Linked DNA regions of Caenorhabditis elegans. The protein of the gene in region 1 purifies or fractionates together with the protein of each later gene. This does not show direct contact. Each region holds a gene or a part of one and is shown in the gene's direction. Other genes may lie near its edges. The genes, in order: pud-1.2, lap-1 and exc-15.

Region 1 (3,154 bases):
GATAGAGTTATAAACACTGATAACGAATTCTTTGTATTTTCAAATCGCAACACATTGAACCAAACCACAAAGTACTGATAAGAAGAATGAGAAGGAGAAAGATCATAAAATTGTTTGTCAGCAATATGCCGGTTCCGCCTCTTTTGGTTTGCTGATATGGAATACATGGCAGAATTAGTTGGTATTCAGTCAGAACGGAGTGTGATGTCTATTCAAAGGTTATATTGAATCAGAAACCTTTTTTAGTTTTAAAATAAACTTATAAACCGAGACAAACCCTGAAAGATTTCAACTCGAGTATGAGAAATGGGCGGGGGGAAGGGATTAGAAGAAACGAAGTGAAAATAAAGTGACTCGAGTTCAATTAGACCGGGGTATGTGAAGATCAAAAAAGTGAGTAACAGGATTTAACAGAGAAGTTTTATTTACCAAAGAAGTCACCTACAGTAACACCAAAATTGTTGGGTATCAACGTGTATTGACCCACGACGTGGCTAAAAAGATCGTACAACGTGAACTCTATGAACTAGCTTATTTATTCCTTAGTTTAATGTAATAATAAACTACTCGTCTTCGCCTCCTCGTTCTGCCTCAATACATAACAATCTGCCTCAATACATTAAGTTGTCTCTGAGCACAAATAGGCCGATATATTTCCAAACGCAATACGTTTTTTAAAAATCATATTTGTATTACTTACTTGCGTACATAATGTAAAACGTCTCACACGGTTAATGTCTCTACTACGTATTAGGTGTAGGCACCGGTAGGCACTCTGGTAAGGAATAGAATTCCTGATTCGATATGATGTTCTTCAAAAATGTATTTTATTTTATAGGGCCCGCTCAGAAAACTTCAGAAAGTGTAAATCACTTCTAGTGGACTGTTTTTGAGCTCAGGGTTTAGAATTCAAGTTTGATTGGTACGCATGAAAAATTATATTAGATAAATTACAATAAATTTATTGAAACTTTTAAAGAAAATCTATTGATAAGAATTATTGACTGAAAATTTAAACATCATGTCTATAGAAGTCAGTAGTCGATGTTCCACTCTTGGATACAAATTGAACTTCTTTCTCGAGAACCTTGATTACTGTAGTTTGGGCATGGTCTTCTACTCTCAAAGTGTGTTTTTTCCAATCAGCCCCATCTGGATGTCCACTACGCCAAGCTTCACCGAGAATACGAACCTTTCCATCAACCACTCCATTCTTATCGTCTACTGTAAATTAATTCCTTCAAAACTATCAAAATATAAGTTAACTTACAGTTTGTCTCAATCTGTTTGATTCCATGAACCTTCCAATTATCAGTACCAGTTGTAAATGGTCCAGTGTTGTAGTGAACTTTCTCCAGAATTTGGGCACTTTGGTTTGGCTCCAATTTCACCCATTTTGAAGCTTCCAATGCATTGCCGGTATACTGATGAAGCACTTGGAACTTGAACACATGGTCACTTTTGTTCTCAATATCCACTTTGGCCCATTGTTCTGTCACACCTGATGGTTCGTCGCTTGCCATTTCTTGAAACGTTGAAGAGAATCGACTCACTTGAGTTTCGATTGATTTCGTGTATTTCCAACTGACTTTAAAAAGCAGTTCAAGTGGGTGGAGTTAAGCACATTACTTGTCAATAGATAATGTTTCAATACTGATATAAAACCTTTGGTCTATGCTTATCTGTCATTACTTTGTGTTCTTTGTCATTTTCAAGCAACGTGTCTGCGGTTTTGACGTCAAGAAACCAAAGGTGTACCAAAAGAAAGCACAACTTTATGATCAATTTTCATGATCATAGTTCATGCTACATGAAACTAACAGGCAAACTGTTCAATTTCATGTTCTTTATCAATTTCACAAACAATCAAACCACAAAAATAGTCAAAGAGAGAAGATCACTTGCATTCCTTATCAATAACTCCACCTCCTCGTTTAGTTTAAAATGGTTACCGTATCAACTGATAATTCAGATCGTTTCTTGACTGAAAACTGATCATGTCGACTGATCCAACTCCACCACAACTCACGAGACGCACTGCAAAGGTTTCAATTGATAATCAGACTGGAAGTCACTTCAAGTTTCAAGTGACACATAAATACACTGGATGGGATGCGGATAAGTCTGATGTTGTGATGTTCCAGCCTGATGAAGTCAAGGAAATCTTCAAAAGTGTCGCCTATAACACTGGATTCTTGACAACTGGAGTTGACAATTGGCTAGTGGATGGTACGATGGTTCAGGAGAGAACTGGTTTGTGGAGTTTTATCTTTTGAGAATAAAGAACTTGAAATTTCAGAAGTGGATAACAAAGGTCACCAAATCGGAAAGAAATCCTACATAGAGCATGCGAAATTCATCAGTGACTCGAGATCATGGAAGCAGCATATGCTAACAGCTGAAGATGACGGAAAAACTACCACGATCCGTGTTTTCCCAACCGAAATTCACTTCATCTCTCCAAGTGGGGAATCGACTACCACTTTCACTAAATATTGATTTCATGTTTTATTTGTAGTTACTTTGAGTTTCTGTTTGAGCAGCGATATTCTTCGTAGGAGTACTTTTCTTAAGCTTTTTTTTTTGAAATAAAATTCATTCTCAAAACTATTTCCAAGCAAAGCTAATTTTTGATTGAAGCTAGATAATTGTCATCAACAGTAATTGTAGAATTTTAGCTTTTTCTGTATTAGGAAATCTACCGTTTCAACCTTTTATACACTTTTCTATCTTTCCACTATGTCCAATTTCTTTTTACAAATATAACAAATATACGACAGCGCAAATGGGAACTAGGACTTGCACTCGTGACTCCCAGGTTGCGAACGGCCACCACAACCGACTGAGCTATCCCGACCCAGGTGCATATTTTCGAATGGCTAAATATTTTCAAATTACTGAACGAATGTTGTCAGTGAAAATTGTCTATTAATTTGGCTGAAAAATATTTTTATAAAAATACAAAATCAGGTCAGGTATTCAGATCAGTCTCAAACTTGATTCAATCGAGCCAATGAATAAAATAGTTGACTGAAAATCATTCCTGAGAACTTTGTAAAAAAATTACATTATCAAGTTCAAGTAGTTTAAAGTTTGAAACATTTCCAAAAAGTGCAGGTTTTATTTTTTGAACAAAAAAATAATCTGGTAAATT
Region 2 (3,759 bases), on another chromosome or scaffold:
GTTTTCATTTATCCCAGATATGTTCAGTTTTCTTGCTGAGTTTTCGGATTTTAAACCATAACTTTATACCTATTCTTTACAATGTTAAAAACATATTTTCTCAAACTCTATTGTGTTAAGATGACAGAAACAGAATCCCAGAAGCAAATAAAACTGGAAATATGCATCGATAATCTGGAATCTGCGGAAAATGCTGTTGCCGGTGGAGCTGATCGATTGGAAGTTTGCTCAGCTTTACAACTCGGAGGGCTCACTCCATCCGTCGGATTTGTGTCTATTCTGAGCTACAAGTATCCCGATATTCCACTTTATTGTATGATTCGCCAACGGGCAGGCGATTTTGTGTATAATGAAGACGAAATGGCAGCGAATATGGAAGACGTTGAATGGCTCAAAAAAGCTGGTGCCACAGGATTCGTTTTTGGAGCATTAACATCGTAAGTCGGAGAGTTTTAAATTGAATGAAACAAATAAATATATTATAATTTTATTTCCAACATGTTTAAATGAAAAAAGAAAAACATATTCTTGTTTCATTTCGAATTTTTCACCATTTTCCGCAAATAAATTCTCAATCAAGTTTATCAATAAAAATTTTACATAACATTTAAATAATTATTTTTAGGCTGACTTAATTTTTGAACAATGCGGAAAGCTTGTTTTTAAAAAACATTTAAAATGCATAGACATGCGGCAAAATTACGAAAGAAGTTTTGTAATTATAACGGTTGATTGCTCTGGATGATCCACAAAAAATTTCAATTTTCAGAGCCGGTTCATTGGATCGTACATCATGTCAATCAATAATTGAAACTGCCCGTCCACATCCTGTCACATTTCATCGAGCAATTGACGTCGCCTATGACTGGAAAACTTGTCTTGAGGACGCTATTGATGTTGGATTCAAAGCTGTTTTGACAAGTGGACAAGAGCCGTCAGCACTCGACGGAGTTTATATCATTCGAGAAATGCAAGAACTTCACAAAGGAAAGATCGATGTTCTCGCAGGTTGTGGTGTGAACAGTTCGAATGTCGCGAATCTTGTCGAATGGACTAAATGTCACTGGTATCATGCTTCAGCTTCTGTTGCCAAGAAAAATGCTCCATTGAATAAGGTGTCAATGGGAAAACAGGACAATCAGCCATCACGTGTCACTTCTTTGGAAGAAGTACGGATGTTGAAAGCGACATTGGCCCCCGTTTAATTATGTTCAATTCTTTTTCATGTCATATTCCAGTCTATATTGCATGCTTCATCATAGTTTCTAACATTTTCATTGTGTTTTGCAATTAGTTGGCTAGAATTTTTCTGTACCGAAAGTTATTTATTAATTTTAGAAGCTCACTAATCAATTAGATATTCGAAGTAGCATGTTTTTTTACTCTACGGGATTGTGAGGGTTATCAATTTATTTATGCCTAGGCAACTTTAATATAGGAGTTGATTTGAACTTAATTAAAATTTTAAATTTCGCTCCTCATTATTTCACAACCTCTCAAATTTTAGACCACGAATGTATGCAAACACGCGCCCTGAAGATTTGTTCCTTCTCTCAATTTCTCATTTTTTTGCTCTACATTTTCTCTCGCCATTTTTTATCATCCTTTTCTCGCATTTATGTTTCTCTGGTCACTCTTTCTCTACCTGCTGGAGGAACTGATAAACGGTTTATTTGAGTAATAATTTTTACACCTTTTTTCTAAAAAGAGTTTGCCTTTTTTAGTCTGAATACTATAGTTTATACTTTCCAACTTTGTTTTTTTTTAATTCAAAAGGTTTTCAAAGTTTCTAATTTCAGTGATTAGTGTCACCTAAAAATGACACAAGTCCTCGTTCGTAACGGGATTCAAGCTGTTGGAGATGGCCTGACTAGCCTAATCATTGTTGGAAAGAAGAGTGTCTTGAAAAATGTGACTTTCGAAGGAAAATTCAAAGAAGTCGCACAAAAGTTTGTTACAGGTTCGGTTTTGGTAGATTACACAAACGCGATGTTTTTTGATTTTTGTCCAAAATTACGGTACATGGTCACTTTCGTTTAAAAAAATTCATATATATCTAGAGATATCTATATACATACTAAATATTAAACATATATTAAATAAAAACACATACATTTTAACAAAGCGCGGAAGAGACTATGGAAACATACCCGTGCGGCATTTGGTTTCGGCATTTGAACAAAATGCACTTTTTCATAAATATGAAAATACGTATATGTATGAAATAGCATACGATGAGAAGCCTGACTCTTAGGCTTGTCACCAGTCAAAAAAATTTCAAAAAAAGTTTACCCCTGCTCGAGATATGCACCCAAATGCCGTATGGCGAATGCCGTATGCCGTATGCCGTATGACGTATTTTCATATTTATGAAAAAGTGCATTTTGTTCAAATGCCGAAACCAAATGCCGCACAGGTATGTATGGAAAATCATGAACCATTCAGAATAAATGAGATTTTGAAATTACAGTACTCTAAAAGACCCACACCTCCCTGTAGTTTACAAAAATGTCTCTTGTCGAGACCTGGTACCGTATGGTTGGTGTAAAGAGAACAACATTTTGCATCTGCAGATGGTTCATACTTTTCCATAATATAAAAATAATTTCAGATGGCGACTCATGGAACTCTATGATTTCTCGAATCCCCGCCTCAGGACGTCATCCTCTTCACTACGAGCTGGCTCATTTGATCACTGTCCCAGATGCCTCTTCACGTGGAAATACCCCCACTAATGCTCATTCGATATATAAGGAGTTAAAACCAATCAACTATCCTGAGGATACAAAGAATGTTCATTTTGTGCTGTTTGCTGAATATCCAGATGTTCTTTCTCACGTTGCGGCTATTGCTCGGACCTTCTGCAAGTTCTCGATGAAAACTTCAGGAATTCGTGAACTGAATGTGAATATCGATGTGGTTTGCGACAAGGTATGTGACAACTATCCTTCATTTTGATATATTGATCTGTATAGTTTTATCATCACTGATAGACAGCAGACACCATGTGCTTGCTTCTATTTGCAAAGTCAGCCTGGAGACTATTCTTTTCTGGAATTGTGTGCTGATAATGTAGAAATACGATAAGAGTTTATTGCGTAGTGTGACGAAATTAAAAAAGAGGAACTAGTAGAATCATTTGATAGCTTCTGCAAAATTCGGCGGTCTTCATGAACTTCCGTTGATAAGAAAGTTATGTGTCCTTCAAGATCTCAATCTCAAAATCCGAATTAATTGTTTTGTTTTAATTGAAAAACAAACATTCAATTTCTTTGCAGCTCACCAACGAGGATGCAGTTTTCCTTACTGATCTCTCAGAATCGGTCCGTGAAACCGCAAGACTCATCGATACTCCAGCCAATATCCTGACTACTGATGCTCTTGTTGATGAAGCAGTCAAAGTTGGAAATGCGACTGGATCAAAAATAACAGTGATCCGTGGGGAAGAACTGTTGAAGGCTGGATTTGGCGGAATCTATCACGTCGGAAAAGCTGGTCCAACACCACCTGCGTTTGTTGTCTTGTCCCATGAGGTTCCTGGATCGACGGAGCACATTGCACTTGTCGGAAAAGGAGTTGTATACGACACTGGAGGCTTGCAAATTAAGACCAAGACTGGAATGCCAAGTATGAAAAACTTCAATTATTATTTATGAAAATGGATTTTTTCAGATATGAAAAGAGATATGGGAGGTGCCGCTGGAATGCTTGAAGCTTACTCTGCTCTTGTCAAACACGGTTTTTCACAAACTCTCCATG
Region 3 (3,759 bases), 2.2 Mb from region 1:
ATTACAAAAAACATCAAAAAAGATGCAGCACGAGGAACCTGACATCTCAAATACACACTGAATTATGCCCTTCTCGAGTGATCTGCTTTCGGAAGATAGCTATCGAACCCGGTAGATCAGCCTCTCGTAGATCAAATATGCGTGATAGATTGAAAATTAATCCCGAAATGTTCTTTAATATTGTAGATTCGTAATCTGTGAAATCGAAGAACCACGCTATCAAGTTTTGTTTCAAAAACTGGAAAATGCTGAACCCAAGTTTAGGAATTTTAAGAAATCGTGTACTTACCTCAAATTTTTATTTTTAATTTTCAGTAGAGGCTAGTTAGACACTTTTAGTTGCTTGGCCGTTAATCAATGGAAATTTAATAATTTATACTGTACATATGTTATTTTTCTCTATTTTTTCCATTTTATTTTCGGCAACCGGTTTTTGGAATTTTTTTTGTCAGATTTTTACAGTTTATGTTCTGGATGGGATTGTTTTTTTTAATCTCAAAATTTTTGCACGTTTCAGGTTTCAATATCATTTTACATATTCAATGAGAAATCAACTTTTCTGCAGAAGCCAGCGTCCACTTCAAAATAATTTTTGAACGGTATAGCAAATTGATAATAGTTAAGATTTCAACAACCAGGCTGTCACATAAAAATTGCACTCTATAAAAAATCGGTTTTTCAAAGAATTGGCAAACGTACAGAACTGTTCATTTCAGTACGAAAGTATAACTTTTTCAAATCAAATATTTAAAAAAAATGTAGAAAATTGTTTGTTCAATCTGAAATTTTTATTCATTTTTATTTGAAAGTTTAAAAAATACCTCAAACGGTCGTTGAAAATTTCAGTTTGCTGTGAAAAATTCAAAGTAATTTTTGCACAAAACAACAATTTTAAGGCCCTATTTAAAGTTTCTTTTAGATTTTTCAACAATAAACTTTTTATTTTCAGAAGGCCTTTCCGGCATTTCTATTTTTTTTTTTTTGACTGTAAATATAACTTTTTAAAACAATTTTTGAAAATTTTTACTATGATATTTCCTAATTTTGGCACGATATTACGCTACTTCACCTTTTAAAAATTTTTAATTTGTGTCTTTTGTTGTTTTTTCATTACTTCAAACGATCAAATAATGATTTTCGAACTCACCCACTTTTCGGTCATCTGACAACACTTTTCCCCTCTTATCTAGGCGTCCTTCATTTCAACGTCGTCCACTTCCTACTACTGTTTCATCACATGAACATCTATCTGCATGTATTTCAAATTTCTGTCAATAGTCTCAGTTCTCACATTGCCACAAACAAAAACAATTGTCATGTTTTTGGAATTTGCATGAAAAAAAAGTGAAAATTGGCCTCCGCATCATTGAACATTTTCCGTTACGGTCTTTTCATCTTTTTTCTATTTTTCCGGCATTCATTTTTTGTGACTGAGCGAAAACCGTTTGTTCATCTCTCGTCTCTATTTCTTGCCGATGGTCACAAAATACCTCTTATCATTTATTTTGTTTATCATTTTGTCATCTATTGGTTTAAACGTAGCTTCTCCTTTTACATTTATCAGTTTTCTGCTTTTCGGTCATATTCATTTTGAGTATTTGCAGAATGACCGTAGACTCTATTCCATTGAATACCGGAGCTCAGCTTCCACTTTTCGGATTGGGAACGTGGCAGGTGAAGGATGAAGCTGAGCTGACTGTGGCTCTTCGTGCAGCTCTTGATGCTGGATACAGACTTATTGGTGAGTGCTGTCCTAGATGGAAACCATAATTTTTTTTTAGTCATGTTTTCTTTTCTTCTTCCATTTGAGATGTCACAAAAAAATAATTGGAAAATAAAAACCGATTTAAAAAATGTTATTTTTGGCCAAAAACGGAAAACTCAAAAAAAAAGTGGTGGCTTGCTCAAACCAGTTAATTAAATTTTTTGCACAATTGAAAAAAAACATTAAAAATTTTGAAATTTTTTTCCAACATTTTTTACATTCGGTAACTACGACCCATTTTCAAAAAACCGACAAACTTTACTCACACCTTTAACTTCAGATTTTCCCATTCAAATTCTAGGTATTTTTCTACTTTTTGACACAAATGTTGAGATTTTTTACGGTGTCCAGTTTTTCGAGTTTTCGAATAAAACCATTGGCAAAGTTGATCCTTGGAGGGCAGTTTTGACAACGTTTTGACAACTGAAAATCCCATTTTTTCAATATTCAGACACTGCTCACCTCTACCAAAACGAGCACATTATTGGAAAAGTGCTCCATGAGTACATCTCATCTGGAAAACTGAAACGCGAGGACATCTTCGTCACCTCTAAACTTCCATTTACCGCTCACGCCCCGGAAGATGTTCCAAAATGTGTGGAAAGCCAATTGAAGGCGCTTCAACTTGAGTATATTGACCTGTATTTGATCCATTGCCCATTCCCATTCAAACATCAGGAGGGAAGCTTTGCTCCATTGATGGAGAATGGAGAGCTTGCTGTTACAGAAATCGCTCATATTGATACATGGAGAGCGTTGGAGAAGTTGTACAAGGAGGGAAAGCTTAAGGTTTGTGAGATTTGGTCTTGAAGGAACATCAGCAATTTCGATTTCCATAAAGTAATTGAATCAGGGGTGGGCGGCAATGCCATTCGGCAAATTTTTTTGTCGACAAGTTCGGCAAAACGGCAAATTGCCGGTTTGACGGTTTGCCGGAAGTTTTCATTTTCGGCAATTCGCTGATTCGCCGTTCGCCATTATATAAATTTGCCGGAAGTGTTTAGAGGGAATTTTTTATAAGACGGAAGCACTTAACACTGTGTCTTTTTGAAATTTTTTCCCGTTTTCATTAAACATTTTCAAAGGATTTGCTTATTTTTCAAAACAGATGTAGAAACATTCATAGGATGCGTACAATTTTGCCGATTAAAATTGAAATTCTGAAATTTCCAAAAAAAAAAGTGCAAAACCACAATTTTTCGAAAATTATTGGCCTTTTTTCCGGCAAATTCGGTAAGCAATTTGTCAGTTTGCCGATTTGGCGGAAATTTTTAAACAGGCAGTTTGCCCGAAAAATCGTTTGCCGTCCATGTGATGAAAAGTTTGTATTAAAAATGTTCTTATTAAATTTTTTCTTGAAAATTTCCAGTGGTTTATTCAAAAAATGTAGTCAAAATTAGACCCACCGGGTGTCAGCTGCTGTAACGTTTTTTGGAATACATATACTTATAAAATTTCAGCAGAATGTAGAAAAATTAGTTGCCAATATTTTGTTAACTATCCATGTTCAAGTTACACGTAGTGTTCTTTCTCCAAAAATATAATTTTCAGGCCCTTGGAGTATCCAACTTCAGTTGCAACCAGCTTCAAGCGCTCTATGACGCCGCCGAAGTGAAGCCAGCCAACCAACAAGTCGAGTGTCACATCTATTGGCCACAACAAGAGCTCCGTGCTCTGTGCAAAAAACTCGGAGTCACTGTTACAGCATACGCACCACTTGGCTCACCAGGCAGAAAAGCTGCTCGTCCGGACGGTGTCTGGCCGGAAGGTGACCCACTTCTCGAGCCAATCGTCAAACAACTGGCTGCCAAGTATCACAAAACTGCTGCACAGATTCTCATTCGCCACCTGACTCAACACGGTATTTCGACGATTCCGAAGAGTGTCAGTCCGGACAGAATTGTTGAGAATATCTCGACGTTTGATTTTAAGCTGAGCGATGAGGATATGCACACTTTGAACAGTATCGAGACCAGAACTAGACTTTTCATCGC

Evidence for each region.
Region 2: the proteins of pud-1.2 (region 1) and lap-1 fractionate together in Caenorhabditis elegans (co-fractionation; one large-scale study listed by BioGRID). This does not show direct contact.
Region 3: the proteins of pud-1.2 (region 1) and exc-15 fractionate together in Caenorhabditis elegans (co-fractionation; one large-scale study listed by BioGRID). This does not show direct contact.

What each region holds. Positions count from the first base shown.
Region 1 is NC_003283.11:2,321,383-2,324,536, reverse strand, and holds pud-1.2 (Up-regulated in Daf-2 domain-containing protein), read left to right. Parts: upstream 1-1,970; 5' UTR 1,971-1,997; coding exon 1,998-2,253; intron 2,254-2,299; coding exon 2,300-2,499; downstream 2,500-3,154. Other genes in the region: pud-2.2 (Up-regulated in Daf-2 domain-containing protein), read right to left, coding at 1,013-1,224, 1,271-1,523.
Region 2 is NC_003281.10:8,399,969-8,403,727, reverse strand, and holds the start of lap-1 (Leucine aminopeptidase 1), read left to right. Parts: upstream 1-1,799; 5' UTR 1,800-1,818; coding exon 1,819-1,960; intron 1,961-2,611; coding exon 2,612-2,931; intron 2,932-3,278; coding exon 3,279-3,627; intron 3,628-3,672; coding exon 3,673-3,759. Other genes in the region: cutc-1 (Copper homeostasis protein cutC homolog), read left to right, coding at 121-437, 770-1,205. UniProt on the Caenorhabditis elegans protein: Probably acts as a digestive enzyme.
Region 3 is NC_003283.11:4,481,900-4,485,658, forward strand, and holds the start of exc-15 (NADP-dependent oxidoreductase domain-containing protein), read left to right. Parts: upstream 1-1,559; 5' UTR 1,560-1,605; coding exon 1,606-1,741; intron 1,742-2,216; coding exon 2,217-2,554; intron 2,555-3,316; coding exon 3,317-3,759.